Linked DNA regions of Elephas maximus indicus. The protein of the gene in region 2 interacts with the protein of the main gene of each other region in a pairwise test. Links are inferred from orthologs where the notes say so. Each region holds a gene or a part of one and is shown on either strand. Other genes may lie near its edges.

Region 1 (9,793 bases), on a different chromosome or scaffold from region 2:
AGGGGGGACAGCAAAGGAAACAATTTTTCAATACTACACTGTAGGGGAGGAAGCCAGGTAAAGAAGACAGCGCTGTGGGGGCTGTGTCTCATCACCACCCAGGGACTCCGTGCTATAGATAAAGCCTTTCCCTTTCCAGACCTTTTACATAAGGTCCTTCAGGGACTCTGTCATTCACTTCGTCTGTAGACACATTTCTGGAGCACCTGCTATGTGCGAGGCACCGTGCTAAGCATAAGGTCCCTGACTCCAAGGGATCTTACAGACTAATGAGAGGGGTGGAGACACAGAAGGGAGTTTCCCTGACTCGCTTGGGAAAGTTACTTAATAAGGGGCTTCCTTAATGATGAAGATCAAAGACTACAGCCTTCAGTATGGATCGTACCTCAACATAAAGAAAACAAAAATCCTCACAACTGGACCAATAAGCAGCACCACGATAAACGGAGAAAATACAAAAGTTGTCAAGAATTTCATTTTACTTGGATCTACAGTCAACACCCATGGAAGCAGCAGTCCCGAAATCGAACGACATATTGCATTAGACGAATGTGCTGCAAAAGATCTCTTTCAAGTGTCCAAAATCAAAAATGTCACTTTGAGGACTAAAGTGCACCTGACCCAAGCCATCCTGTTTTCAACTGCCTCATATGCATTTGAAAGCTGGACAATGAATAAGGAAGATGGAAGAAGAATTGATTCATTTGAATCATGGTGTTGAATCATCCCGTTAAAAACAATCAAACCCTCAACACCAAGCCATCAAACTTAGCATGGCGCCTAGCGGGAGACGCTTCTGTTGTGGGAAGTGCATGGCACTGACAGAACGGTCTCGACAGATATTGGAACCAAATCATGATGAATCAATCAGTCCAAGTCAAAATGGGGGCCTTTTTTTTTTATCGTGATAAAAAATATATCTAACAAAACATTTACCATTTCAACATTTTTTATGTGTACTATTAACTCAGTGGCAGTGATTACATTCATCATATTAGTGGGACATTTTTATAAGACAACAGGCCTTCGAAACTGTCAAAGTCATGAAAGAAAAAAAAAGTCAGGGGACTTTTCTAGATTAAAGGAGACGTTACAATCATATGTAACGAGTGAAACTTGATTGGATCCTAGATTTTTTTTTTTTTTAAGCTACGATGAGGAAATTGAGGAGAGTCTAATAATAGAGTCTTATTTTATTGAATTTTATTCAATTCTTGTTAATGAAAGTCTTGGTGCACTAACGGCGTTGTGGTGAAGGCCTTAGGAGATACGTGCTTAAGTATTCAAGGGTGACATGTAATGACGTCCACATAACAAATGGTTTAGCAAAATATATATATATATATACAGGAAACCCTGGTGGCATAGTGGTTAAGTGCTACTGGTGCTAACCAAAGGAATGGCAGTTCGAATCTGCCAGACGCTCCTTTGAAACTCTATGGGGCAATTCTACTCTGTCCTATAGGGTCGCTGTGAGTCGGAATCAACTCGACGGCACTGGGTTTGGTTTTTGGTTTTTTTTTATATATATACACACAATACATATACACAGGAAGAGAGGTAAAGCACGTGTGGCAAAATCAATCTAGGCGAAGGGTATACGGGTGTTCACTTTATTATTCTTGCGACTTTTTTGTAGCTTTGACATGTTTCAAAATTAAAAAGCTGGGAAAACGAAAGCACCCTCACCCCCTCCCAGATGTTCCTCCAGTTGTCATCATCTCACCCTCCATGCCCGCCAAGTTTCCTCATAGGCATCTACACTTACTATGCCTATGTTCTCAACCAGTGCTGTGCTGGTTAAGTGTTGAAAAATTGGCTCTCTAAACCAACCGACTAACCAAGCCAGAAGGCCCTGATTTGTAATATCTGCCGATTCCCATGGTGTAAACACTCCCACCGTGCCCAATTGCAAGCTACCAACATGACATCACTGAAGGTGGGATTGGGAAGAAACGTGTCATAGCTCATCCTGATTCAGTATTCTCACCATACAGATGTGACAGATGTGAATAACCTCAAGAGCACAAAATCATTAGGAAGTGATGATTTCCGGGTATTTGCCTTTGTTTTTAATATAACCTATTTGAAGCTGGACTATATGAAGAATAAAGGGGCATCAGGATTAACAACCTGCATCATGCAGAGGACACAACCTTGCTTGCTGAAAGTGAAGAGGACTTCAAGCACTTACTGATGAAGATCAAAGACCACAACCTTCAGTATGGATTACACCTCAACATAAAGAAAACAAAAGTCCTCGCAAAAGGACCAATGAGCAACATCATGATAAACGGAGAAAAGACTGAAGTTGTCAAGGATTTCATTTTACTTGGATCCACAATCAACAGCCATGGGAGCAGCAGTCATGAAATCAAAAGACGCGTTGCATTGGGTAAATCTGCTGCAAAGGACCTCTTCAAAGTGTTGAAGAGCAAAGATGTCACCTTGAAGACTAAGGTGCGCCTGACCCAAGCCATGGTATTTTCAACCTCATTATATGCGTGTAAAAGCTGGACAATGAATAAGAAAGACCAAAGAAGAGCTGACGCCTTTGAATCGTGGTGTTGGTGAAGAATATTGAGTACACCATGGACTGCCAGAAGAACGAACAAGTCTGTCCTGGAAGAAGTACAACCAGAATGCTCCTTAGATGCAAGGATGGCAAGACTACATCTAACATACGTTGGACAGGGTGTCAGGAGGGATCAGTCCCTGGAGAAGGACATCATCCTCGGTAAAGTACAGGGTCATCAAAAAAGAGGAAGACCCTCAACAAGATGGATTGACACAGTGGCTGCGATAATGGGCTCAAGCATAACAATGATTGCGCAGGACCAGACAGTGTTTTGTTCTGTGGTACATAGGGTCACTATGAGTTGGAACTGACTTGACAGCTCCTAACAACAACATTTGATCATTGTTGTTTTTAGTTGCCATCAAGTTGGCTCTGACTCATAGCAACCTTGTGTATAATGATAAGATGTTGCCTGGTCCTGCACCACCTTTAGGATCGTTGGTATGCTCGAGTTCGTTATAACCACTGTGTATTTTGAGCGCCTTCCAACGTAGGGGGCTCATCATCTAGCACTCTATCGGATAATGCTCTGTTGTGATCCATAGGGTTTTCATTGGCTGATTTTCGGAAGTAGATCACCAGCCTCTATTTCAGTCTGGAAACTCCGCTGAAACTTGTCCACCATTGGTGACCCTGCTGGTATTTGAAATACTGGTGGCATAGCTTCTAGCATCATAGCAACACCCAAGTCACCACAGCGTGACAAACTGACAGACGGTGATAGATTTGATCATGTTTATGTAATTAGCTTTGGTTTTGTAATGGCTGTGTTTAGCAGCTGGCTCACAAAATTCTTGAAGATTTGACAACTGGCTCTTGTAAACTGGTAGAAGCTGGCTCCAACACACCTCTGTAAAAATCTCAACCCACCGAAATCTGGCTTTCACCTCCACCATTCAGCCAAAACCCTTTTTGCTCGTGTTACTGAAAAAAAATTTTTTTTTCCATCAAGTCAATTCCAACTCGTAACAACCCTATAGGACAGAGTAGAACTGCCTCATAGGGTCTCCAAGGAGCAGCTGGTGGATTCGAACTGCCAACCTTTTGGTTAGCAGGTGAGCTCTTAACCACTGCACCACCAGGGCATCACTCCTTTTACTAGGGACCTCCATGTTACAAAACGCAAGGGACAATGGATACAGCTCTGTCCTTGCCTAGGCTGACCTTTTTGTAGCATTCAGCATTGCTTAATCCTCCCACCTTCTCAGAGTACCTCCAGGCCCTCTTCCTACCTCTTGGCCTGTCCTACCCAATCTCCTTTAAGGGCCCTTCTTCCTCTACCTCATCTTTGGGTTTTTGGTATACTCCTTCAACACACTCTCCCTAAGGTGCCCTCGTCTAACACTATGGTTTCAACTACAACCAAGAAGTCTGATGCCTAGCCCACGTCTCAGCTGCAAACCTGTGCATCCCAATGGCTTAACCAATTTTCTCTTCTTGGAGGTTCCACAGACACCTCAAACAAAGCCAGAGTGGAAGCCATCACTCCCTACTCCCATCTCAAGGAGGAGATCCTGAGGTCCAGAGAATGCAGGTGTGACTATGAAACCACAAAGTGTAAGTTCCCCGGTGCCAAGATGCCTTTCTTCAATGAACAGTCCCATAAGCCCACATTACAATTTTATAATGCAAAAGCCTTCAACAATATGGCAAATGCAACATACATTAACTCCCCCACGGGGCCAGGCCCCTTGCATGAACCTTGTGAAACTCAGATTGCCCAGCCATGTCAAAGTACTGCCACTTGGTGGCCACATTCTCCAAATGGAAAAGTGTCCCAAGTGCGGAAATAACAAAGACCTGAGCTGCGTCAAGGCAGGTTGTATCAATTCACACAGAATTGATGGAGGAGTGGTCCACTCCCAGCCTAGTCTCAGCTTCCACCTCCAGTTTCGGGCTTCAACCAAGATTCTTCCCAAAGTGCTGTGCAAGATACTTCCTGTGGCTTGTGCTCACTCATCCGCCAGGGCACCTTCCGGAAGAGCTTGATGCTCTAGATTAGGCCACTTCTGTCAGTTATTATCATGTCCATCAGTCGGAATCCATCATCAGTGTCAGTCAGTCTAGTCAACCAGTCAGCCCTTCAGGCAGAGTCAGGCAGGGGCCAATGAGAGCCAGAGTCAGTAGGAGTCGGTTGAGACCAGTCTTTCAGTCAGTCAGACAAATAGGGTCAGAGCCGGTCAGTTGGACAGTCAGTCAGATTCCATCACTTCAGTCAAGAGTCAGCCAGAAGCCTTAGTTGATGTCAGGGTCAGTCCTTCAGTCAGTCAGACAGTAACGGGGAAGGGAGAGTCAGAATCAGTCAGTTGGCATGTCAGTCATTATCAGTCTGTTGTTATTGTTGTTAAAAACAAAACAAAACAAAACCCAGCGCTGTTGAGTCGATTCCGACCCATAGCGACCTATAGGACAGAGTAGAACTGCCCCATAGAGTTTCCAAGGAGTGGCTGCTGGATTCAAACTGCTGACCCTTTGGTTAGCAGCCATAGCACTTAACCACTATGCCACCAGGGTTTCCGTTGTTGTTAGCTACCATCAAGTCAGCCCCTGACTCATGGTGACCCCATGCAAAACCGGATTGGACCGTTGTGACCCATAGGGTTTTCAGGGGCTGATTTTTGGAAATCAATTGCCAGGCCTTTCTTCCTAGTCCACCTTAATCTGGAAGCTCCACTGAAACCTGTTCAGGACCATAGTAACACACAAGCCTTCACAGGCAGATGGGTGGTGGCTGTGTGCCAGACTAGTCAGTGGTCACTGAGTCAGTCACAGGCAGGCAGTCTGTCTGCATCAGTCCTTCAGTCAGTCAGTCACTGGAAGACAAGGTCAGAGTCAACCAGTCAGCCTGTCAGTCATCATTACCCTAGGTAGCCATAAGTCAGGCAGTCATAGGCAGGCAGGCGGTCAGTCGGGACCAGTCCTCTGTCAGTCATTCAGTCAGAGCCTCTCAGTCATCGTCAGTCGAGCTAGCCAGTCGTTGAGTCAGTCGCTGGCAGGCAGTCATTCAGTCAGTAGTCAGCCATCCGTCAGTCATTGTCGGTCACCGTCAGTGAGGCAGTCAGCGTTATCGGTCTGTCGGTCACTCTCTGGGAGTCACTGTCACTGTCAGTGAGAGCCAGAGTCAGTCTCTGTCGGGCTGGTCCGCCGGTCTGTCAGTCAGAATCCAGCTGTGTCCGTCCTGGTTGTCGGTCAGTCCGTCTCCCTGTCCCTCTGACTGCCAGAACCCTGCGCAATCTGCAAAAGATTCACCGCTCCCGACTGATTCCACGTCCCAGGCCACCCCTCCTCTTACTCTCGCCCAATCACAGGTCTCAGCCTCATTAGGAGTGCCCGCCCTCTGGGGCCACATCCAGTCACAGGCCCTGTTCTTCCGAAACCCTGCCCTCCACCGTACCCCGCCCCCTAGCAGTCCCGCTGGGTACGCCCCCGCAGCCCTGTCCTATCACAGACCCCCCTCCTCAAGGCCCTGCCCCTCTGTGGAGTCACGTCCAATCAGAGTCCTCTCCCTGTCTGAGACCCCCCCCCCGGCGGGCGCCATGGATGACGCCATAAGGCCTCGCCGCGAGAAGGTCACACGGGCTCTTCCAACATGGCGGCGGCGGCGCTGCGGCGAGGCTGGTGCCGCTGCCCGCGGGTGAGCGGACGTGCGGGCAGGCGGGGCGGGTGCCTAGGGGCTCAGGGTCCGCGGCCTCCAAGGGCTCCTTCTCCTCTTGTCCTTGGCCTCCGCGGCCCTTCCCTTGGTTCGAGCGAGAGGCTTGCGGTTGGGTCAGCCGAGGCCGGGTTAGGGAGCCCGGAGCTAGGCCTGAGCGCGAGGACCGAGCGAATCGCCCCTCACCTCCTGCACATACCCCCACGTGCTCGGGGTGGCTGCTGCCTGTTGAGAAGAAGTAGCGAGGGGAAGCCAAAGTGACAATCATGTCTTGCGTATATATGCCAGATCCGCTACCAAGAGCATTTCCTGCCGAGCCTCTCGTAATCCTCAAGTGGAAGTGTGGAAGGCGGTTCTCGCCTTGGCCCAGAGCTTGGGCTCTTGAGTTCCTAGGGCGGTGGGACTCAGGGTGTGGAGAGCTCAGTTAGAAAATAGCACTTCATGTTAATGCTGCAGGAAACTGGAAACCCAGACAGGTTAAGCAACCTGTTCACAGGCCCACAGCTAGCGGATGGCTGACCTGGTCCAAAGCCCAAGTCAGTCTGACTCCAGAGCCAAACTGTTAAAACTTGTAGGCTTCCAAGTGTGGGGAAAAACAAGGTTTCTTTGACTCAGAACTGATTTTTTTTTTTTTCTTGGCCATTTGTCTTTTGAGTCAAGGTTTAGAGGTTAAATTTACATGTGTTTGGATTTGGTCACAAGACCTAGGGGGGACCAGCCTCAGACTTATCTCCCATATTAGACAGCCATCCACGTATGTTTTGGACGGTGGCCAAAGACAGTGGCTCTGGGGTCTGTGGGTGTAGAGATATTGAGAAATACAGCAAGTTACAGTAAAACCTGCAAAAGCCAGAACCTGTGTAAGGTGGAAACCTGCCAGAGAAGGAAAATTCAAGTATTTTCCACTAAAACGAGCTATAGCAAAGTGGTAGAGCTGCACTCTGTCAAAGGCAGAAAACTTGCAAGACCCGGAAAAAACCAAGCAGTCCAAACAGATTTCGGCTGTCACAGATTTCACTGTATTTAAACTCCCAAGAGTGACTCTCTCGAGTAACTATAGGAGATAGTGGTTTGGCACGTTCCTGGGGGTTCCCAGAGCTAGGAGGCAGGAAATATGGAGAGGAAGGGTCCTCTTGTAGTTAGGTGCTGTCGAGTCTGTTTTGACTCATTGTAACCCCATGCGACAGAGTAGAACTACCCATAGGGTTTTTCTGGGCTGTCATTTTTACCAGAGCAAATCACGAGGTCTTTCTCCTGTGGAGCTGCTGGGTGGGTTCAAACCATCAACCTTTCAGATAGCAGCTGAGTGCTTAACCGTTGCGCCACCCACTGTGCAAATGGAAGAGTGGTTCTGTCAGGTCGTTTGACGCCAGTGTACTAGGCACCATGCTGGGTGATAGGGTGCAGCATTGAGCAGGACCCCCAGGTCCTACAAAAAAATGCCTTTCACATGAGGTTGCTGGGTCTTTGCCTAGCGTGACTCCCCTGTGATACCTTGCTTGTGGCTCAACCCTTGACCAGGGCATTGTGGGTTTCTTCCAGCACTGTGCCTGGGATGCTGCTTTATCAGTGTTTGCCTCTGAAAGCCCACGACTTCTGTGAGAGAACACTGCCAGCCGCCAGCATCAAGGCTCAGTGTGCCCTTTTTCAGACTGCGGGATTAAAACGAAACCCAAACCCATTGTGGTTGAGTTGATTCCGACTCATAGCCATCTTACAGGACAGAGTAGAACTACCCCATAGGGTTTCTAAAGCTGTAACGTTTACAGAAGCAGACTGCCACATCTTTTCTCCCATGGAGCTGCTGGTGGGTTCAAACCGCCAACCTGTAGATTAGCAGCTGAGCACTTAACCATTGCACTGCCAGGGCTGGCATGTTTAGCCTCCACCACCCATCTGTCAGCTTGTCCTATTGTAGTGGCCTGTGTGTTGCTAGGGTGCTGGAAGCTATGCTGCCCGTATTTCAGATAGCAGCAGGGTCATCCATGGTGAACTGGTTTTAGCAGATCTTCCAGACTAAGACAGACTAGGAAGAAAGGCCTGGCATTCTGCTTCCAAAAACCAGCCAATGAAAACCCTATGGGTCACAACCTAACATCATCTAATATAGCACTAGACAACAAGCCCCCTAGATTGGATGGCACTCGAAATGCACAGTGGCTGCAATAATGGGCTGAAGCATGTCAAAGATTATGAAGATGGCACAGGACCAGGCAACATTTTGTTCTGTTGTACATAGGGTTGCCATGAGTCGAAGCCAACTTGATGGCAACCAACAACTGAAAAAACCAAATTTTTGTAGCGACCCTATAGGACAGAAGAACTGCCCCATGAGGTTTCCAAGGAGCAGTTGGTGGATTCAAACTGCTGGCCTTTTGATTAACAGCTGAGCTCTTAACCACTACGCCACGTAATGACAGCAAACAACATATAGCCGTCTTCCCCCATAGGTTGGCATTTCCTGGGACCTATCCATTTTCCCCCAGGATCAGAGGCAAGAGGGTAGATATAACCCCAGGAGCCGAGGATGCAGTATTTTCTCTTTCTGGCAGATTCCACGGGCTTCGCAGACAGTAGGAAGACTGAAGGGTATTCAGCGTGGGGCAGGCATGTGGTAGAAATCGGGGAATAGGCCTCAGGCAACCCTTGGCTTTTTTTATATGGCACACTTACCTTCCGGTTACCTTCTTGTTTTAATGGATCTTTCTCTTTTCTCCCCAATCAGAGATGCCTCGGGAATGGAGTCCAGTTTCTTGCCAGCCACAACCTAGTCCCTCTGCCCTACGGTTCGACTTATCAGATGTGCCGACCAGGTAGAGAGCTGCCCCTGGTGAGTGGCTCGGACCGCGAGCAAGCCGACGGTAGGGGAGATCTGAAAAGCCAGACTTTGTTGGCAGGAAGAGGGTAGGGACATGGAGGGACATGGCAGGCGTTCCACAACCAAGGCCTTCTGGTTACAGAGCCCACCGGCTTGGGAAGCAGTCAACCAACTCTTGCTGGACATCTTTAGGGACAAGGCACTCCTCCCTCACAAAGTAGCACCTGGTGTCAGCTCTAATGGCTAGAAACGCCATCCCTATGTTGAACGGAAGTCCACTTCCCTTAGGCTTCTCCCCGTGGGTCCCTCACCAAGCAAGGCTCTTCCCTTTTCCTGTGATAGTAGCCTTTTAGGCATTTGAACGGTCACCCCATTGTTCCCTAGGCTTGGGTTCCCCAGGCTACACCTGTCCCATCCCCTCAGTCTTCCTCCCAAGTACCATTTTCTAGAGTTTTTGCACTCCTGGTCTCTCCCGGTCAACTGAGCTTCTGCTTGTGTCTTGCCACCTTGAGGAGGGAAGCTTAGAGCCCTGCACCGTGCTTGGGCCACTCACACCCTCCTCCCCCTCTTCGTGCACCCAGAGTCTCGCCCTTACCAACTTCACCTCAGACAACTGCTTCTTGTACCTGCTTCACACAGGCATTATCCTCAGGTCCAGTTCTGGGGTGCTTGTGGGCATGGAATCGTTTGCCTGAGTTGTCCAGTTCCCCCACACCCAAGATCTGCAGTCCCAGAGGACATGGTAGGG
Region 2 (9,756 bases):
ACATTCAGGTTCTTTGTAAGGGGGGTAATAGATACAACTTTAGTTAGTCTAATGAATAACCTTAAGATTCTTGATTCAATGAGGCAGCCCAGTGTGTCCCTATTCATTCTTTTATAATATAAAAGCAGAAGGAGCTGATCAAGGAAAGGCCGCCTGTGTTTAGCTTCACAATGGCGGTATAAACAGGAAAGGGAGAAAGGGCTTTCGCCGGAACAATTATCCCTTAGCCTATTACCAATACAGCACTGATCCCTTTTGCAAAGCACACATGGAGGATATAGATGCAAGTATCTTTAGAAGTTGGATGGGGCTGAGAGGTGCAAAAGGCAGATGGGTGACTGGTTTCTTAAAGAGACTCACCGACTTGACATGACTATTGTTGGAGGTCAAATGTTCTGGGCCGAAAATGTGCTCCTTTGTGAGCAGGACTCCTAGAGGGTGTGACCCCTCTAGTCGGCCGACACTTCTCTTACGTGTCTCGGTTTCTCTCCCGGTTGTCTAAGACAATCCGGGGGGCTCAGAGTGCTGGGTGGCCAACCCTTATGTGTGCATCCCCGGAGGAGCCTGGTTGTTAATTAAGTGAAGTCGGAAGTTCCTGTGAGGCCGCTGCACATTTTGGGTTTGACTCAGACACCTCCACAAACTGGAGGAAGCGCCTCTTTTCTTCGGAGTCGGAAAGAGTCAGACACTCGTTATTACCATCTTCTTGTTAATAGTCAGACCATCTTCTTGTTAATAGTCAGACTAAGAAGAAACAAAACACACACACAGGTAGGGGTAGGGGTACGTCAGCGCAGGGCTGGAAAGGAAAAAAAGAGAGCCCGAGCTTTTAGGTGGACTCACCACTTTCTGGACAAAGGAGGAGGAAGTTTTCAGTCCAAGTCATGGCACCAGAAGATGTTACCGGAGAATAGCCTTGGTTCTTGTCTTCAGTGTAGGAAAGAATTCAAACACTGAGACAAATAGTGCCAAGCGAGCAGAGGTTTATTAGCTAGCAGGGGGTTAGTAGCGAAAGTACACTTGGCTAGGGAGCGTCAAGCGGGCTACTCAGATAGAGGAAGTGTCCGAGTGACCTGACAGTCGTTTTCTTAGGGTTTTATACCCTTTTTCTCCTATCTCCCCCGTTAATGTTTAACTGCCAAGTCAGGGACCCCTGTAGAGACCATTTCCTTGGCTTATCATTTAATTACCAAGTTAGGGACCATCTTATTGAGGACTGTCACCACCTCCTGTCTCTTCCTCCTCCCGAGTGCAAGCTCTCCCCCTCCACCTTACAGTAATATAGATACAGTAATTCTAAAGAAAATTTTGGCAAATCAAATTTTACAATATATTAAAAGGTATTACATAATGAGAAAGTGGGGTTCATACCAGGAATGCATGATTAACATTTGAAAATTAATCAGTGTAGTCCACGATAACTCAAGAAGAAAAACCATGCGATCATTCCAATAGATGCAGAAAACCATTTCACAAAATCTAACACCCATTTTTGATGAAAAGTCTTAGCAAACCAGGAATAGAAGGGAATTTAATCAACCTGCTAAAGGGCATCTTTGATTCTTTTACAAGAAAGGAAAAGGGAAGTAGCAGAGCTTTTCAAAGCCATAGCACTGGCTGAGCTAGGTACCTGTAGGCCACCGGAACTGCTAAAACATGTCAATGCTGGGACTGAGCCTTCTGGCCTGAATAATTCAATCTCATGTAATCCTGTAAATGTCCTTTAACTTGAATTATGCAATAAGCTCTGCCAAACAACATAGATCTTTGCCCTGATACTTAAATAATATGAATGGTGCTGGTAGTGATAACAGGAATCGCTAACAACTACTGCACAATCACTATGCTTCAGGCACTGTGTCATGTTTGATATGGAATAGCTCACAGAATCTTACAACAACTCTGTATACAACATACAATAACAAGATTACTCAAGGAATGTTATTTGGTTTAATTGTTTTTCACCCACTCGTAAAAATATACAAACCTGCAAAAGAGCAGGTTTAATTTTATGAAAAAATGGAAGTGTTCAAATTACTGCCCTATGAATTTTGTTAGGAAAGGATTTTTAATAAGGAAAAGTAAAGAAACATAATCTTTAAGCACACTTACTTGTACCTTTCCCATACTTCTGACCCCAGGGTTGTATGTTAAAATTCTCTTCAGGGAATAAATAACCGGAAGTGGGAACTTCCATACTCTGCCTTTATTAAAGCTTTAATTACAATTACAGTTGCATTCCCACCAATTTAAAGACATTAACCTGCTTGTTTGTAGCAGTTCTCAGGGCTGCATCACCTCTCACTGTCTGAGGTCGCCCAAAGCCCACCTGTGCATACTGTAGGTCTGTCATGACGCTTTTCTCAGCTGAGGCAGGTCCTATCAATGCCCGCGGCTTCCCAAAGCCCGCCTTCCACTGCACTGCCATTGGGTGATATCACTGCCTGTCGGGGGCCTGAGAGGAGTGTGCATCCTCGCAGGCCGCTGCGTCAGCCCGGGGGAGCTGGTTGTTGAGGAAGCTGTGCAGGCCTGTGGGGCAGTCATCTAAGTCACTGTTTCTGCCTCAGAGAAATGGTTTTGCGAGGTGGTTGTTCTTAGGTGCCGTCGAGTAGCGACCCTATGTACAACGGAACGAAAAACCGCCCGCTCTGGCGCCATCTGCAAGGTTATCTCCCCCGAAATGGGTGGTTGAGAGTGAGGCGGTGCGCTGGGGTTTCAGAGATGGCATTCTCCAAGCAGCAGCAGGGGTTGGCATTGGAAAAAGTGTGGCATTTTTTAGGGGAGATACTCAGGACTCTTGGAGTGGCTGTAAGATGCCTTAAGGAGGTCTCCCGGCCCTGCCTGCACCCTGTTAAGCACTTTTTCTCAAGCTTAAATTCCTAGAGCTTTCTCCCCTCTGTCCCTCCCGTAAGGGCAGCCTGAACCTCAGTTTTCTCAACTGTAAAATGGGTAGCATTACAACAGCAATCGGTGAACACTTAAGATTTTTTAGTCTTTTCAAAGACATGTTACTGAGAATTTAAAATTAATGACAATAATAAAAACCCTCAAGTTGAAAAGCCTTTAAATTTTCTAGGTGGATAATTCAAAGGGGGATGTCAGAAAACCATAATCAGCTAGTTCAGGCTTTAATTTTTGTTTTAATACATGGTGCTTCTGATAGTTTTAATGTGGTGCTGATGATGATGCGAAAAACCCAAATCACTTAAAAATCCTTCGTCTTGGCCGAAGTCAGGGCAGGTGGAATGAGTTCAAAGGCATCTATGAGTCCCTGGGAGAAAAAACAGTGGTGGCCTTGCACTGCTTGCCCAGGAGTGGGCTGCACCCGCCCCTTGCTTCCCCACCGCCAGCTCCTGTGCAGTAAACTTGCACCAAGGGGTTTTGCGCTTCCTTTTGTAAACGTTAGGCAATGGAGCCAGAAGTCTGTTTTCAAACACTGCCTATAAATTAGAGTTTTAAAACAAATTAAATACTTAAATGAATTGAAATTTAAAACTCACTCCTGAAATTATTCTTCCTCCCGGCGAGCACTTTGGAGCCCCTCAGTGAGGTCCAACAAGATGAGTTCCTGACCCCGCGTGGGTATCATATCTCAATAAAAATGCATGGAAAAATGGTTTCAAACAACCAATTTTTAACATTTTGATTTCTTACAAATTCTTATTGGCTAGAGAATAAAAACAATTCTCCTCTTTTCTGAAGTTGAATCCCCGGACCCCACATCATCTGCACCTCCCAACGCAGGAGCTCCAGTGGGCACCTTAGTAACACTCCTGAGCAAGCAGTGCAAGACCAGTACTCTTTTCTCTCCCAGGGACTTAAGAGATGCTTGCTGTCGGGCGACAGCCCCAGCAAGGAAAGACCCTCACTGTGCGACCTGGCAGATAATCTGAGGAACTGACACATAGCCACCCCCACCCCCCCACCCCAGATTCATGCATTCAAGGAAACTTACTGACATGGGCAAGCAGCTGCTCTCCAGTAGTGGCCGGCTGGAGTATTTTCCGCAACCACCTAGCAAGGGACCCAAGCTTATATACCATTTCAGCTGGGACCAAGGCTCATCGTTTTCTCCCATGTCCTTGGGCAGTCAGTGTTCCCAGGGACTTCACGTCCAGGCCCAGATGTTTTCCTTCCTGTTGCTAAGGCATTCCTCAGCCTTGGCTGCTGGCCCAGTCATGCCACTCCCGGCCTTGTACCTTAGCCGAAATCCATACCGAATTCATCCCCAGCATGCTTCGGGGAAGAGCAAAGCTGATTCCATTAGGGAGAGGATGCATACAGCTGAATAGCATTACCCTACACCTCCGAAGTCATTCCACTTGCCAGGGATACTGACAGAAAGGTCGGAGGTTCAAACCCACCAGCATCTCTGCTGGAGAGAAAGATGTGGCAGGCTGCCTCGGTAAAGATTACAGTCTCGAAAACCCTGTGGAGCCATTCTGTTCTGTCCTATAGGGTCACTATGGAGGCGGAATGGACTCAATGGCAATGGATTTTGAGTTATACTTTGCATACAATAAAATGCACCCATTTTTAATGTAGCGTTCAAAGAGTTCTGACAAACTCATTGACAGAACATTCCATTCACTTCCAAAACTTCCCTTCTGCCCTTCCCAGTCAATCCCGCTCCCCACAAGACAACCACTAATTGGCTTTCCTTCACTATAGATTAGTTTTACCTGGTTTATAATTTCATACAAATGGTATAATACAGCATTTCTCCTTTGAGTCTGGCTTCTTTTATTCAACCTTATGAGATTTCATCTATGCTGTTCCATATATTATTATCTTCCATTGCTGAGTAGTATCCCATTGCTGTGTTTCTTCTTCAATTCTTAAATTGTTGGACACCTGGACTGTTTCCAGTTTTTTGCTATTATGAATAAAGCTAATTAGAACATTTGAGTACAAGTCTTTGTATAAACATTGCAGTAGTTCATAAAGGACGCCTTCCAAAACAGCTCACCGCCCCTCTTAAATCCAATGCCCCAGCTTCCGCCACACCTGAGACTTGCTGTTATCCAAGGCTATGACTACAGGCTCCAAGAGCTGGAAAACACTGAGGATGCTTTGGTCAGATTTAATCCATTTCAAAGCCGGAAAACTGAGACACAGGTGTTAAAAATAATTAAAAACTTAACATTTATTCTGAGCAGTTATTCTATAAGGAGCCCTGGTAGTGTAGCGGTTAAAACGGTAGACTGCTAACCAAAAGGCCGGCAGTTCAAAACCACTAGTGGCTCCGCTGGAGAAAGATGTGGCAGTCGACTTTCCTAGAGGATTACAAGCCTTGGAAACCCTGTGGGGTCGCAATGAATCGGAATGAACTTCATGGCACTGGTTAGCTATTCTATATGCTTAGGGCTCTTGGTCACTGACCGACGAGGGCGCTTAAGGATTCCCCGCCCAGATTCCGAAACTGCTAAGGTCACCCTTGAAAGCGACCCAAAAAAAAAAAAAAAAAGCCCTGCTTTATTCCGTCACGGCACAATTGGGGTTAAAGCTCATGGAGCGCAAGCCTCGCCCCGACTGCGCCTGCGCGAATGAGACCGTACGAATTTGCCCCAGACCCTGACGTCTCAGACAGCCTCATTCGGCCCGTCCTACCTTAATGGGCGTGCCTGCAATCCAATAAGAATGGAGGGCTGAGTCCCGTGAAGCCAATGGTGAAGGCCCAAGGGGGGGGGCGCGGAGGCGGACCCTGTAAGGAGGAGAGAAGACAGGCCCAAGATGGAGGCGGTGGAGGCCGTAGCGGCGTGACAGGTGAGGGTGGACCCCGCAAGGCTACATTTCTGGAGCGGCTCTCAGGCACAGGCAGGGAGTCTGGACCGAAAGCTCAGTTCCAGGATGGCTGCGCCTGGGCCCCAGCGCCCCCCGTCCGGAACCGGAGGAGTGGTTCGCCCCGGGGCGAAACCATCGTCGTCAGCGGGGTGAGGGGTGGGTAGACAGAATAGGCGGACTAGAAGGCTGGTGATGGTTTCGCCCGCCGCGAGTGGCAGGGTGTCTGCGCAGAACCGGGAAGCTTCCGGTAGGCGGGGCCCGGCCGATTCGGGCCTGGGCTGTGGTTTAGGGAGCTCGTGATTCTTTCTTAACCCAACTGAGGTGTCTGATAACCCGTCCTTACGTTCTCCACAGAGTGCGTGGAGATACGGCACATTACTCCCTTTCCATATTCTGGATCAATACCTGACCCATTAAGAGAATGGGAATTTCTCCATTACCCCTTCTTAGCCCTCCCCAGCTTCCTTCCATTATCCCTTTTCACTTCACTAATACGTCTGGGACCCCTCATTAGTTGTCAGGGGGACTGTTGGAGTCCCCCCTCCACCTTACTCCCTGTTTATCTCACCACGACAATGTCTGTTGATGCATGATTACCCTCTTTTGCCTTTTCCTCATGACAATGTCTGGTGATCCACCATTACCCCATACCCATTTGGCCCAATGTCAGGTGACTTCCATTTTCCACCCTTCTGCCCATGACAGTCCCTAGTGACCCCTATTATATCTCCAGCATAGTGTCTGGTGACTCCCCATCGCATAGCCTAGTGACTCCCATTATCCCCCTAACATTGTGTCTGTGATCCTACCATCAACATTACACTCCAGGCCCTTTAAGAACACTGTTTGGTGCAGCCCCCATTTCCCCCAACTAAGAGCAATATCTCACGATCCTCCATCCCCCATCACAGTGTTCGTGACTCTTCCCGCACCACAATATCTGGTAATTCCCTCTCATTAAAAGCTAGAACAGAGTCTGTTTGTGTCCATTATGTACCTAAAATCCCTAGTGCAGTGCATACTGACATTAGGCCCCAGCAGAGAGTCACAGAGTATTGTGTGCACTCCTGTACCCTCCGGGACAGTGTGTGCTGCCTTCCCACCCCCACCTCCACTCCTGCAGTGAATCTGAGACCTCGGTGCTCTGGAGGGAGACAAGTGATAGGAGGGTCTGAGCAGAGGAGCGACTGGATCCTGGCTCAGCTTCAGGTGATAACAGGATCTCATGGGCTGCTGTGTGGAAATTAGGCTACAAGGGGCAACATGGAGCCTGGAGACTGGATTTTATTTCGTACCCTGCCACTTTGCTTCCAGAGTACTACTATTGGATTTCTAAATTCCTCCTCTCTCTTCTCCTAGGAGCCCCATGGAACCTGCCCAGCCCCACCTCAGCCCTTCTTGACAAAGTCCTAGGCTCCATGGAGCTGCCACGGGCCCCCCCTGCCAACGGGGCTGAGCCATCCCGGGCAGTGGGTACCGTCAAAGTCTACCTGCCCAACAAGCAGCGCACGGTGGTGAGTCCCTGAGGGGCAAAACTGACAGGGATTAGGGATGGACCCAGTTGTAAGTCTGGGACGGGAGGGTGATAAAGGTGGGAGGAGGCCTTTGTGGAGAGGTGGGGGAGCCTACTGGGGCCCCTGTTGGGCACTGAGGGCCCCACATATGCACACACAGGTGACCGTCCGGGATGGTATGAGTGTCTACGACTCTCTAGACAAGGCCCTTAAGGTGCGGGGTCTCAATCAAGACTGCTGCGTGGTCTACCGACTCATCAAGGGGTAGGTGTGGCCCCCACCCACTGGGTGCCCAGCCTCCATGCCCTCCTCAGAGTCATCTGACTCCTTTTCTCTGCCATTGAGTCTTCCATATTCTTTCTTTCGTCTTCCATTGTTGTTGTTAGTTACCATCAAGTAGAGTCCTCATAGCAACCCCATGTCACAGAGTAGAACTGCCCCCTAGGGTTTTCTTGGCTCTCACCTTTACAAAAGCAAATCACCAGGTCTTTCTCCCTCGGAGCTACTGGGTGGGTTCAAACTGCCAACCTTTCAGTTAGCAGCCGAGTGCTTAACTGTTTGCACCACCAGGGATCCTGAGTCTTCCGTTAGTTCAGTTAATTCGTGAGTTCATCCGTCTTTTGTTACTTCATTAGCTTGCTGCCTTGTAAGGTCTGCAACTCATTCACTCCTTGACCCAAGTCCTCACCATGCCCCATCGCCTCCTCCCAGAGGAGTTCATCTGTTTTGTCCTTTCACTATTTGAGTAATTTTTTAGCTCTCTTTCTACAGTTTCCCCACTCTCTGCCTGTTGAATTGAGCCTTGGACCATTAAGTCCTTTGTTCTGGGGCTCCCTAATTTCTTTCATCTACACATTGTTTTTTGTTGGTTCATGTCTCATTAGCCACTTTTCAGGGCTTGCTCAATACTTCTAATATTGAGTTATTTATTCACCACTTCACTACCCTTGTGACCTTGGGCAAGTTACTTTACCCCTCTGGGCCTCGGTTTCTCCATTTCTAAAATGGGGGCAAGAATAGTAACTGGTTCCTAGGGTTGCTGTGTTGAGAATTAAACTTGGCAGATATTACTCTGTGGATAGCAGGCTTGGAAGGACTTTTAGGGGGTTCCATGATTCTTGTCTACCCTCCCACTCATTTCCTTCTGTGCCCTTTGCAGGCGAAAGACGGTCACTGCCTGGGACACTGCCATTGCCCCCCTGGATGGCGAGGAGCTCATTGTCGAAGTCCTTGAAGATGTCCCACTGACCATGCACAATTTTGTGAGTGCAGGGCGGATAGTAGAAACAGGCCATGGGAGGGGGGAGGGTCCTTCACCAGGACTCAACTTCTCCTGCTCTGTGGCAGCAGGTGCGGAAGACGTTCTTCAGCCTGGTATTCTGTGACTTCTGTCTTAAGTTTCTGTTCCATGGCTTCCGCTGCCAAACCTGCGGCTACAAATTCCATCAGCATTGTTCCTCCAAGGTCCCCACAGTCTGTGTCGACATGAGCACCAACCGCCGACAGTGAGCCTGGCCTGGGGTGGGTGGGGGGATGGGGAGAACAGAAGCCCAGCGACAAGGCCCTTGTAGACAGCTGACCTGTGTCCCCTCTCTCTATACCCCTTTCACCCTCAAGTTTCTACCACAGTGTCCAGGATTTGTCAGCAGTCTCCAGACAGCACGAGGCTCCCTCTAACCATCCCCTGAATGAGCTGCTAACCCCCCTGGGTCCCAGGTAGGGAACCTTAAGTGAAGGGCTGCTGTTGGGAGAAAAAGATCTGGGGGCCCCAATAGACCACAAGCCATACTTTATTCATTTCTTTATTTGATATTTTTTGAGCACCTACAAATGGAAGCAGAGTGATTAAGGGGCCTTGGGTAAGTCACCTTATCTCTCTGGGCCTCAGTTTTCTCATCTGTAAAGAGGAGATAATGATAACTTTCTACCACATAGGGTCATGATGAGGATTAGATAAGTTAAGACGTGTCCAGTGCTTAGAACAGGATCTGGCACCAAGTAAATAATCACTGTTTCTTATTGATTATAAATATATTTAATAATCTAACTGCTTTGTTAATTCTTCCAGTGTAACCGTGCTCAAGCCTTTCTATTTTGAGATACGTGCTATTTTATCATAAATTATTTTCATTTTACTTCTTTATATTAAGTATTATAGTACTGTAATATTTATTAAAATGTTATTTCTCTAATATAAGTTTATATATGCTTTATGTGTCTGTTATATATATTATAATGTATGTATATAATATATGTTATATATTACATAATCATGTCTATATTTTTATATAATGTAGAACATCATACATTTTTATATAAAATATAAAATAATAAATTCAGGCCACTATATTGACTGTTTTTAATTATAGATGTATATGGATTTGTTACCTTTGAATTTAATTTCAGGATAGTGCAGTGAGCATTAAGGTACATTTTTGTAACATTATAATATATTATA
Region 3 (10,000 bases), on a different chromosome or scaffold from region 2:
GTCAGACACAGAGATGCACACCTAGGAGAAGACAAAGGCTGTGTCAGAACAGGTCTGCAAGCAAAGGAGCACCAAGGATTGCTGGCAAATGCCAGAAACTAGGAGAGAGGGCCACAGAAGGAATTGACACAGCCAAGACTCAGATTTGGACTCACAGCCTCCAGAAGTGTGAGAAAATAAATTTTGTTCTTTAAAGCCACTACTCGTGGTATTTTTTGTTATGGCAGGCCTAGTTGACTCAGACACCTAGGTTTGCAGGCTGAAAGTCTCAGCAGTACCTTCCCCCCAAGGCCGCCACATCCTGCAGACTTGACCCCAATCTCACAGCCCCTTTCCAGCCCCCGTGAACTCTCACCGAGGCCCCTGAACTTGCGTTCCTGGCTCCTAGCTCTCCTCTGTCAGGCCTCCTGTGTCACCTATGGGAAGAGAAGCAGCTTCAAATAATCCATGTATGATCCTGTCATCCCCTTAAAGCAAGCAAACCAAATGCTTCATTGCCGTTCTAATAACTAATACTTACTGAGCACCTACTATGTGCAAGGAGCCCTGGTGGCACAGTGGTTAAGCAGTTGGCTGATAACCAGCCGAAAGGTCGGCAGTTCGAACCCACCCAGCCACTCTGGGGGAGAAAGGCCTGGCTATCTGCTTCCGTAAAGATTACAATCTAGGAAAGCCCATGGTGCTGTTCTAGCCTGCCCTGTAGGGTGGCTATGAGTTGGAATCATAAAGATTACCATCCAGGAAATCCTATGGCGCAGTTCTAGCCTGCCCTATAGGGTCACTATGAATCGGAATCTACTCAACAGCAATGGGCTCAGTTTGGTTTTTTCACTACATGAATGCTTGGTGCTTTACACAGTTATTGTGCTAAATCCTTCCTCCCCACCATCTGGCCCCGCCTGCCTCTCCCAGCTCAACCAAGCTTCTTGCTGCCCCAGCAGGTGCCAGTGCCTTTCTGTTCCAAGGACATACACCAAGCCTTTTCCCTGGCAGCTCCCCTCCTAAAAATACTCTCTCCTTGGCCCTAGCTTGCTTGAGTCTCTTTCACTGTGTAGACCTCAGATCAAATGTAGTTCCCAGAGAGGCCTTCTCTGACTGCCCCAAGTAGCCAACCAACTACTGGTTGCCGTTGAGTCAGTTCTGACTCATGGAGACCCCACATGTCACAGTAGAACTCTGCTTCATAGGGTTTTCAAGGGCCAAGTTTTCAGAAGTGGATCATCAGGAATTTCTTCTGAGGCACCTTTGGGTGGACTCAAACTGCCAATATCTCGGTTAACAGCTGAGCACATTGACCATTTCTCTCCTGCTAGCCCAGAATACTAGCACTGGTCACCATCTGTCATTATTTTGTCGGTTTGTTTCCCATTCATCTCCATCGGTAGATTGTCGGTTCCACCAGGGCAAGGACCGTGTCCAGTTTTCTCACCACTGAGTTCCAGTGGGCAGAACAGTGCCAGCACCTAGGGGACTCTCAATAAACACTTGATGAAGGAACAAGGGGAGGAATGCAGGAAAGCACAGAGAAGCCCTCACAAATGGTTGCTATGATCAATGTTTTAGGGCTCCTCTCTGAAGCCCATTCCTTGCTGCCGTGGCTTCACCTGTCAAAGCATGCACATCTGATGCTGTTGGCCTCCCTGCTCAAAAACTCTCCCTGAGCATCCTGGCGGCTATGAGTTTTTGACCCCCCTACTACTTGGAACCCTGGTGGCAGAGTGGTTAAGAGCTTGGCTGCTAACCAAAAGGTCAGCAGTTCAAATTAACCAGCCACTCCTTGGAAACCCTATGGGGCAGTTTTACTCTGTCCTATAGGGTCACTATGAGTTGGAATTGACTCCATGGCAATGGGTTTGGTTTTGGGTTTACTACGTGTAGGAACTGTGCTGAGGGCTTTAAAAGCATCATCTCTTTTGTCTTTTCACAGACCTCCTACGAAGAAGCAGGTCCTCTCTTCCAGGACTGTGTTATGACTTTTGTGGGACCTAGGGTGGCACCCCCACCTGTCTGTTAGTTCGTCGTACTGTGGGGGCTTGCATGTTGCTGTGATGCTGGAAGCTATGCCACCGGTATTCAGATACCAGCAGGGTCACCCATGAAGGACAAGTTTCAGCTGAGCTTCCAGACTAAGACAGACTAGGAAGAAGTACCCAGCAGCCTACTTCTGAAAAGAATTAGCCAGTGAAAACCCTATGGATAGCAGTGGAGCATTGTCTGATATAGTGCTGGAAGATGAGCTCCCCAAGTTGGAAGGCACTCAAAAGATGACTGGGGAAGAGCCACTGCCTCAAAGTAGAGTTGACCTTAATGACATGGATGGAGTAAAGCTTTTGAGACCTTCATTTGCTGATGTGGCACGACTCAAAAAAAGAAGAAACAGCTGCAAACAACCATTAATAATTGGAACGGGGAATGTATGGAGTATGAATCTAAGAAAATTGGAAATCATCAAAAATGATATGGAACACATAAACATTGATATCCTAGGCATTAGTGAGCTGAAATGGACTGGCATTGGCCATCTTGAATTGGATAATCATATAGTCTACTACGCCGGGAATAACAACTTGAAGAGGATGGTGTTGCATTCATCGTCAAAAAGAACATTTCAAGATCTATCCTGAAGTACAAAGCTGTCAGTGATAGGATAATATTAATACGACTATTATTCAAATTTACACACCAACCACTAAGGCCAAAGATGAAGACATTGAAGATTTTTATCAGTTTCTGCAGTATGAAACTGATCGAACATGCAATCAGGATGCATTGATAATTACTGGTGGTTGGAATGTGCAAGTTGGAAACAAAGAAGAAAGATGGGTAGTTGGAAAATATGGCCTTGGTGACAGAAACAATGCTGGTGATCGAATGATAGAATTTTGCAAGACCAATGGCTTCTTCATTGCAAATACCTTTTTTCACTAACATAAATGGTGCCTATACACATGGACCTCACCAGATTGAACACATAGGAATCAAATCGACTACATCTGTGGGAACAGATGATGGAAAAGCTTGATATCATCAGTCAGAACAAGGCCAGGGGCCAACTGTGGAACAGGCCATCAATTGCTCATAAGCAAGTTCAAGCTGAAACTGAAGAAAATCAGAGAAAGTCCACGAGAGCCAAAATATGACCTTGAGTATATCCCACCTGAATTTAGAGACCGTCTGAAGAACAGATTTGACGTGTTGAACACTAGGGACCGAAGACCAGATGAGCTGTGGAATGACATCAAGCACATCATACATGAAGAAAGCAAGAGGTTGCTGAAAAGACAGGAAAGAAAGAAAAGACCAAGATGGATGGCAGAGGAGACTCTGAAACTTGCTCACGAACGTTCAGCAGCTAAAAAGCAAAAGGAAGAAACGATGAAGTAAAAGAACTGAACAGAAGATTTCAAAGGGTGGCTCGAGAAGACAAAGTAAGTATTATACTGACACGCACAAAGAGCTGGAGATAGAAAACCAAAAGGGAAGAAGTTCGGCGTTTCTCAAGCTGAAAGAACTGAAGAAAAAATTCAAGCCTTGAGTTGCAATAGCGAAGGATTCTACAGGGAAAATATTAAATGACACAAGAAGTATCAAGAGAAGTTGGAAGGAATACACAGAGTCACAATACCAAAAAGAATTAGTCGGTGTTCAACCATTTCAAAAGGTTGCATATGATCAGGAACTGAAGTGAGAGAGCTGAGTGCCTGTGCGCAGGAGGCTTTCCGGCAGAGTGGGGTGCCTCCGGGCACTTACTGGTGGAGCTACTAAGCTTTGGAACACTTGCCCCAGCAGAGCAGATGTGGGTGTGAGGCCCAAAGAGCGGAGAAGCCAAGAAACCAGGAAACAGAAGCTCAAGAGACAAGGAACACAAGAAGCTGAGCTGTCTCAGTCTCAAAAGGTATGGCCATGACCTCAGGGGTTTCAAAGGGTGGAGCCATGGCCTCCGGTGTTTCTAAGGGTGGAGTTGCCACTCAGATGGACTAGGAGAATGGTGTGCCTAAAGCCGGGGCAGCAGAGTTGCTGTCCCAGTGTGCCTGGAAGGCAGAGCTGAAGCACAGGGCCAAGAGGCCTCCACTCAGAATCCAGAGACTGTGGCCAATACCTAGAGGCTGGAGGGCAGGGTTATTGTGTAAATTGTGTCAGAGAACGGAGGATTACTTTCAAAGCTTTGAGGGCTAATGTAATGTGTTCTGCTGACTTGCTTGGTGCTTGTTATCCCTTCTTTCCTCCAGTTTCTCCCATTTGTAATAGAAATGTCTAGCTTGTTCCTTGTATTTTGGAAGCAGATGATTTGTATTCCAGATTTTACAGATGAAGATGAATTTTCAGATTTTCGACTTGGAACTAAGACTTTTGCTATGATATGAGATGAGTATGTTTTGCATGCTGCAAGAATGTGATTTTTGGGGGACCTCCAGGAGGAATGTCATAGATTATGTGCCCCTCCCCCCACCCAAATCTGTGTATCAACTTGGTTAGGTCATGTGTGGTTGTTCTCCATTTTGTGATTGTAATTTTATGTTGAGAGGATTAAGGTGGGATTGTAACACCACCCTTACTCAGGTCACCTCCCTGATCCAAGGTAAAGGGAGTTTCCCCGGGCTGGGGCCTGCACCACCTTTTATCTTTCAGGACATAAAAGGAAAGGGAAGCAAGCAGTGAGTTGGGGACCTCATACCACCAAGAAAGCAGCACCAGGAGCAGAGCATATCCTTTGGACCTGGGGTCCCTGTGCCTGAAAATCTCCTCTACCATGGGAAGATTGAGGACAAGGACGTTCCTCCAGAGCCGACAGAGAAAGAAAGCCTCCCCCAGGAGGTGACACCTTGAATTTGGACTTTTAACCAACTTCACTGTGAGAGAATAAATTTCTCTTTGTTAAAGCCATCCACTTATGGTATTTCTGTTATGGCAGCACTAGACTAAGACACATACTTTGGACATGTTGTCAGGAGGGATCAGTCCCTGGAGAAGGACATCATGCTTAGTAAAGTACAGGGTCAGCAGAAAAGAGGAAGACCCTCAATGAGGTGGATTGACACAGGGGCTGCAACAATGGGCTCAAGCAAAACGATTGTAAGGATGGCACAGGACCGGGGAGTGTTTCGTTCTGTTGTACATACGATCACTGAGTCGGAACCGACTTGACGGCACCTAACAGCAACAACAGGGTGTCACAGACGGTTAAGCGCTCCACTACTAACCTATAGATTGGTGGTGTGAACCCACTCAGTGAAGGCCTCATGATCTGCTTCCCTAAATATAGTCACAGAGTAGAACTGCGCCATAGGGTTTTCTAGGCTGTAAGCTTTATGGGAGCAAATCACCAGGTCTTCTTCCCTTGGAGCAGCTGGCTGGGTTTGAACTGCCAAGCTTTCAGTTAGCAGCAGAGGGCTTAGCCACTGCGTCACCAAGGCCCCTCCTATAAAGCTTACAGCCAAGAAAACTTTATGGAGCTTTCTACTCTTTCTGACACATGGGATCCACTCCAGGGCCAAATGGCTTGGTTTTTTTTTTTTTTTTTAGGCCCTTTTGCCTTGTAGGCCTTTCTTCCATTATAAAAAAAACTGTATTTTATGACTTGTTGATATCCTCATACCAATTATATTTACACAGTCTATGGTAGATTATTATATTACTCGTTTTTTCTTCCGATTTTATAAAAAATTAAAATATTTTCGTGGGCTCTACACGTGACAGGAAGAGCCCTCGCAGCTCTTGCCTACCCAGAAAAGTCAGCAATTTGAACCAACCAACGGTTCCACAGGAGAAAGACCTAGCGATCTGCCTAGATTACAGCCTAGGAAACCGTATGGGGCAGTTCTACTCTGTCCTATAGGGTCCCTATGAGTCGGAATTGACTCCCCTGCAATGGATTTTGATACTGGAAGGATAATGGCCCTGCGCTTGCTGTCCCTAGTAGTCAGACGACAAAACTGCCGTTGCAAGGGTCAAAACCAAAAAACCAAACCCGTTGCTGTCGAGGACACATAGGACTGGCCAAAGGCGCAGTGAAGAAGGGGCAGAGCTGGGAGTGAACCCACGCCAGACTGAGCTTAGTTCTAAACTTCTACTGGAGCCAAAGTTCCTGGAACCCCGTCAGGTTCCATTCGGACGTCCCCTTATCCCGTGCCCCGCCCCAAGCCAGCCTGAGCACGTGGAGCCACAAGTGACCGGTAGCCCTAGGTCCGGACGGAAGCTCACTGACCCCACCCCCTCCGCCTAGAGCCTGGCGCGCGGCTGCGGTGGGCGGGGACGCAGGCCGCGCTTGCGCAGTCCGTCCGCCCCGCGCGCGCGCATGCGCCGTGCTCGCTCGCGAAGAGGGTGGCGGGGGCCGCGCCGGGAGCCATCATGGATGAGGACTACTTCGGAAACGCGGCCGAGTGGGGCGACGAGGCGGACGGCGGCCAGGTGAGGGGGGGCACCCCCCGACGAGGACTTCCGGTCTCCGTCGCCGGCGGGTCGGCCCGCGTGCTCACCGAGTGGTTCAAGCACAACCTGCCCCGCCCGGGAGACCGCGGCCCCGACCACACCCCCTACTCACACCCCCTCCGGCCGAATTGGTCCGGCTGCCCCCCGCACGCCGCTGTCCGCCCAAGGGCCCTTCGTTCCCTCACTTTACTATAGGGATGGGGGACCAAATGGGACCCACCCTGGCTTGCCGAGGAGGCCCGGGAGGTCCCTGACCGTTGGTGCCTCAGTTTCCCGCGCCCGGTGAGGGTCTGGGTCTCTGACTGGAGAGGTGCTGGTTACTCATGGGGACATGACCTGACCTATTGACCACTCACCTGGGGCCCGCGCACTTCTAGCCCCCAAGGCGGCTAGGCTACAAACTCCGGACGGTTAGGCTGGGAGCTGCACGGAACCAAACCCGTTGCCGTCGAGTGGATTCCGACTCATAGCGACCCTAAAGGACGGAGTGGAGGTGCTCCATAGGGTTTCCAAAGTGTGGCTGGTGGATCTGAACTGCTGACCTTTGGGTTCGCAGCCTAGCATGCCGCTCTTAACCACTGTACCACCAGGGTCTCCAGAACCGCAGAGGTTCTTAAAATAATTTACTCTTTCAGAAAACTCCAAGTCAGCATCATGTGGGAAAAGTAGAGCTTTGGGCACTCTTGGAGCCCTGGTGGTGCAGTGGTTAAAAGCTTGGCTGGATACCAAAAGGTTGGCAGTTCGAATCCACCAGCCGCTCCGTGGAAACCCTCTAGGGCAGTTTTATTCTGTCCTGTAGGGTTGCTATGAGTGAGCATCGACTCCACGGCAACGGCTTTGGGTACTTTTACATGTGTGTTACTGTTTGTGAACTATAAGCTTTTCAGGGTTTGGGGCAGATTTAATTTATACTTTGGGCTAAATGGCTTTGAAAGGCTCTTCCAGCAGTGGCCTTCCAGGGTTTGGTGTGAGAACAGGGCAGCAACCGGTCTGCTCTTCCCTGAATATGTTGTTGGGTGCCCTCCAGTAGATTCCACTCATACACTCATAGTGGCCCCGGATGATAAAGTAGAGCCAGGCCGTGGGGTTTTCTAGACTATAATTTTTACGGGAGCAGATCACCAGGTATTATCTTCCTCAGAGCCACTGAGTGGGTTCGAACCACTAACCTTTTGGTTAGCAGCCAAATGCTTAACCATTGTGCCACCAGGGTCACCATCCCCTGAAGATAGGGGTTGGAAAGCATACAGCCTTATTCTAATGGTAAGACTCAGCTGAGTTCCATGTGTCAAGCTTCTTGGGCCCCTCACTTAGAGACGGTGATCCAGTCAGTCTGGAATGGAGCCTGGGAATTTGCCTTGTTCACATGAGTTTAAGATTAGTTACCTTTGGGAAATACAGGTAGTCCCTGACTTATGATGTACTCAAGTTAGGACCGTGCATCTTGTCATGAGTAATACGTACTACATACAGTGTTGCTGCATGTAATTTGGTGATGTCATTTTCATGCCAACCCCCAAAGACAAAGATTGGATTTATAAAGATACTGATAAAAGGCAATGATAATTTTTTTAAAAATAAAATATTCAATTTATGTCAGAACCGACTTATGATAGAGCCATTGGACCAGAACCCCATCATAAATTGGGGACTACCTGTACTGGGCTAATACGTTGAAGGAAGAAAGGATGAAATGGGGTTCACCTCATTGAAAGGGGATGGTGGTGAGAAGAGGGCACCACAGCCAAGGTACAAAGATAGAGGTGTATTTCTGGAACTGAAAAGTCCTGTGTGGTTAGTTGCCTTGTGGAGGCAGTGGCATGAGGTACGGTAGGGAACAGGTTCTGAAGGACCCCTGAAAGCTGCTGAAAAATGACATGTTGGAAAGTTAAGGGCAGGGGCGACACAAGTGGATTTGCATGTTGGATTGTTGTGCAGTGTTGGAGGATTACAGTGGTGTGGGTAAAGAGTCAGAGTTAGCTCATTGCGAGCCTGTGCTAGGTGCTTTCATGCATTATCTCACTCCACCCTCAAGTTTGGAGTTGGGTGTCACTTTGCACATTTTGTAAATGATGACAGTGAGGCACAAAGACTTGGTTATCTGCCCAAGGTCCCAGAACTCGTAAATAGGGGAGTGGGGCTCCAAACCCAGATCCTCTGTCTCCATTGCCACTTTTAACCCACTGCTGACCACCGAGATGGTCCAAATGAGAGAAACTTAGGGTCTTAGTGCTGGATTGGTGTTTGGGATATCCTGTTCAAAATATCATAGTACTTGTCACATTGAGCCTTTGGGTCATAGAATGTTAGAACTGGGGTATGTCTTTAGGGTCATCTAGTCCAAAACCCAGAAAACCAAACCTGTTGTCGTGGAGTTGATTCCGACTCATAGCGACCCTATAGGACAGAGTAAAACTGCCCTGTAGGATTTCCAAGGAGTGGCTGGTGGATTCAAATAGATGACCTTTTGACTAGCAGCTGGGCTCTTAACCACTGCACCACCAGGGCAGCAATGCCCTCATTTTAAAGACTGAACAGACAAGTTAGTTGCCCTAGCTTACCCAAGTGGGAATGGCAGAGCCAGGTCTGGGCCCCACTGGTGGAGAACTTTAATCATGATTCTAATTTGGCTCAGTGATCCTAGTGGGCTGTCATTGATGAGAGGGATGGCCCAGATGTTCAGTTCACGTTCATTCTAACCGTGACTGCTTGGAGGAGCAAGAGAGTGTCAGGGGAGGTGACAGAGAAGGAGTGGCATGATCTGGATTTTGAAAGATAGTGATAGATCAGTCGTGTGTCAAATTCTGTGCAGTTGACTCCATGTTAGATGGCTTCTTGGAGGCAGGAAGATGTATAAAGAGACTACTGTGAAGTTAAGCTCAGAAACCAAGAGCTACTGAAATGCAAGTAATTCAGTCTGGCTGCAGGTTGCGTATGGGGAGCAGCAAGAATGACACTGGACCGGTGAACAGTGGGAAGGACAAGGGTAAAGAGCTAGGATTTTTTTTTTTCCTGAGGGAGATAGGAAACTTTAAGCAGGAAGAGTGGCATCAGATTTGTGGCTTCTGAAGATAACTGTGGCATCACCATGAAAGAAGATTGAAAGGAAGGCTGGAGGCCCTAGGGCACGGTTGCTACTGCTGCAGAAATGCAGAAGATGATCTGTGGAGGCAAATTTGGAGAAGGGGCCAAAGTGCGTGGATGTGTGGGAAGGAGAACTGATGGGTGTTCGTGACAAGATGTGGGGTGGGGAGAGGGAAGAACTAAGGACGGCGCCCAGGTTTCTGATTTGGAGTAGCAGGTATACGATGGGCTCCTTTACTGAAATAGGGACTCTAGGAAGAAGATCTGTTTTCAGGGACTAGATGATGTTGGTTTTGGATCTAATGAGTTTGGGGTACTAGCAGAACATTCAAATGGAATTGAGAACAGACTGTTGAGTATTTGATTCTGGAGCTTAGGAGAGAGACCTGGGGTAAATTCTAGGTTTATGAGCGGAGGGGGGGTGACATGACCCAAGAGAAGATGTGGTAATAGCAGCCGGAGAGTACAGACACGGAAGGATGAGCCT

What was found.
Region 1: the proteins of ARAF (region 2) and TIMM44 interact in binary tests that used the Homo sapiens proteins (3 or more experiments, as listed by UniProt). The link is inferred for Elephas maximus indicus from reciprocal best matches to the Homo sapiens genes ARAF and TIMM44.
Region 3: the proteins of ARAF (region 2) and NELFCD interact in binary tests that used the Homo sapiens proteins (3 or more experiments, as listed by UniProt). The link is inferred for Elephas maximus indicus from reciprocal best matches to the Homo sapiens genes ARAF and NELFCD.

The regions. Positions count from the first base shown.
Region 1 is NC_064821.1:12,676,224-12,686,016, reverse strand, and holds the start of TIMM44 (mitochondrial import inner membrane translocase subunit TIM44), read left to right. Parts: upstream 1-6,132; 5' UTR 6,133-6,167; coding exon 6,168-6,212; intron 6,213-8,952; coding exon 8,953-9,057; intron 9,058-9,793. UniProt on the Homo sapiens protein: Essential component of the PAM complex, a complex required for the translocation of transit peptide-containing proteins from the inner membrane into the mitochondrial matrix in an ATP-dependent manner.
Region 2 is NC_064846.1:124,079,187-124,088,942, reverse strand, and holds the start of ARAF (serine/threonine-protein kinase A-Raf), read left to right. Parts: upstream 1-5,704; 5' UTR 5,705-5,766; exon of another isoform or gene 5,767-5,951; intron 5,952-7,143; 5' UTR 7,144-7,202; coding exon 7,203-7,298; intron 7,299-7,458; coding exon 7,459-7,562; intron 7,563-8,457; coding exon 8,458-8,560; intron 8,561-8,645; coding exon 8,646-8,803; intron 8,804-8,915; coding exon 8,916-9,014; intron 9,015-9,756. UniProt on the Homo sapiens protein: Involved in the transduction of mitogenic signals from the cell membrane to the nucleus. May also regulate the TOR signaling cascade. Phosphorylates PFKFB2.
Region 3 is NC_064843.1:10,147,292-10,157,291, reverse strand, and holds the start of NELFCD (negative elongation factor C/D), read left to right. Parts: upstream 1-6,307; 5' UTR 6,308-6,348; coding exon 6,349-6,408; intron 6,409-10,000. UniProt on the Homo sapiens protein: Essential component of the NELF complex, a complex that negatively regulates the elongation of transcription by RNA polymerase II.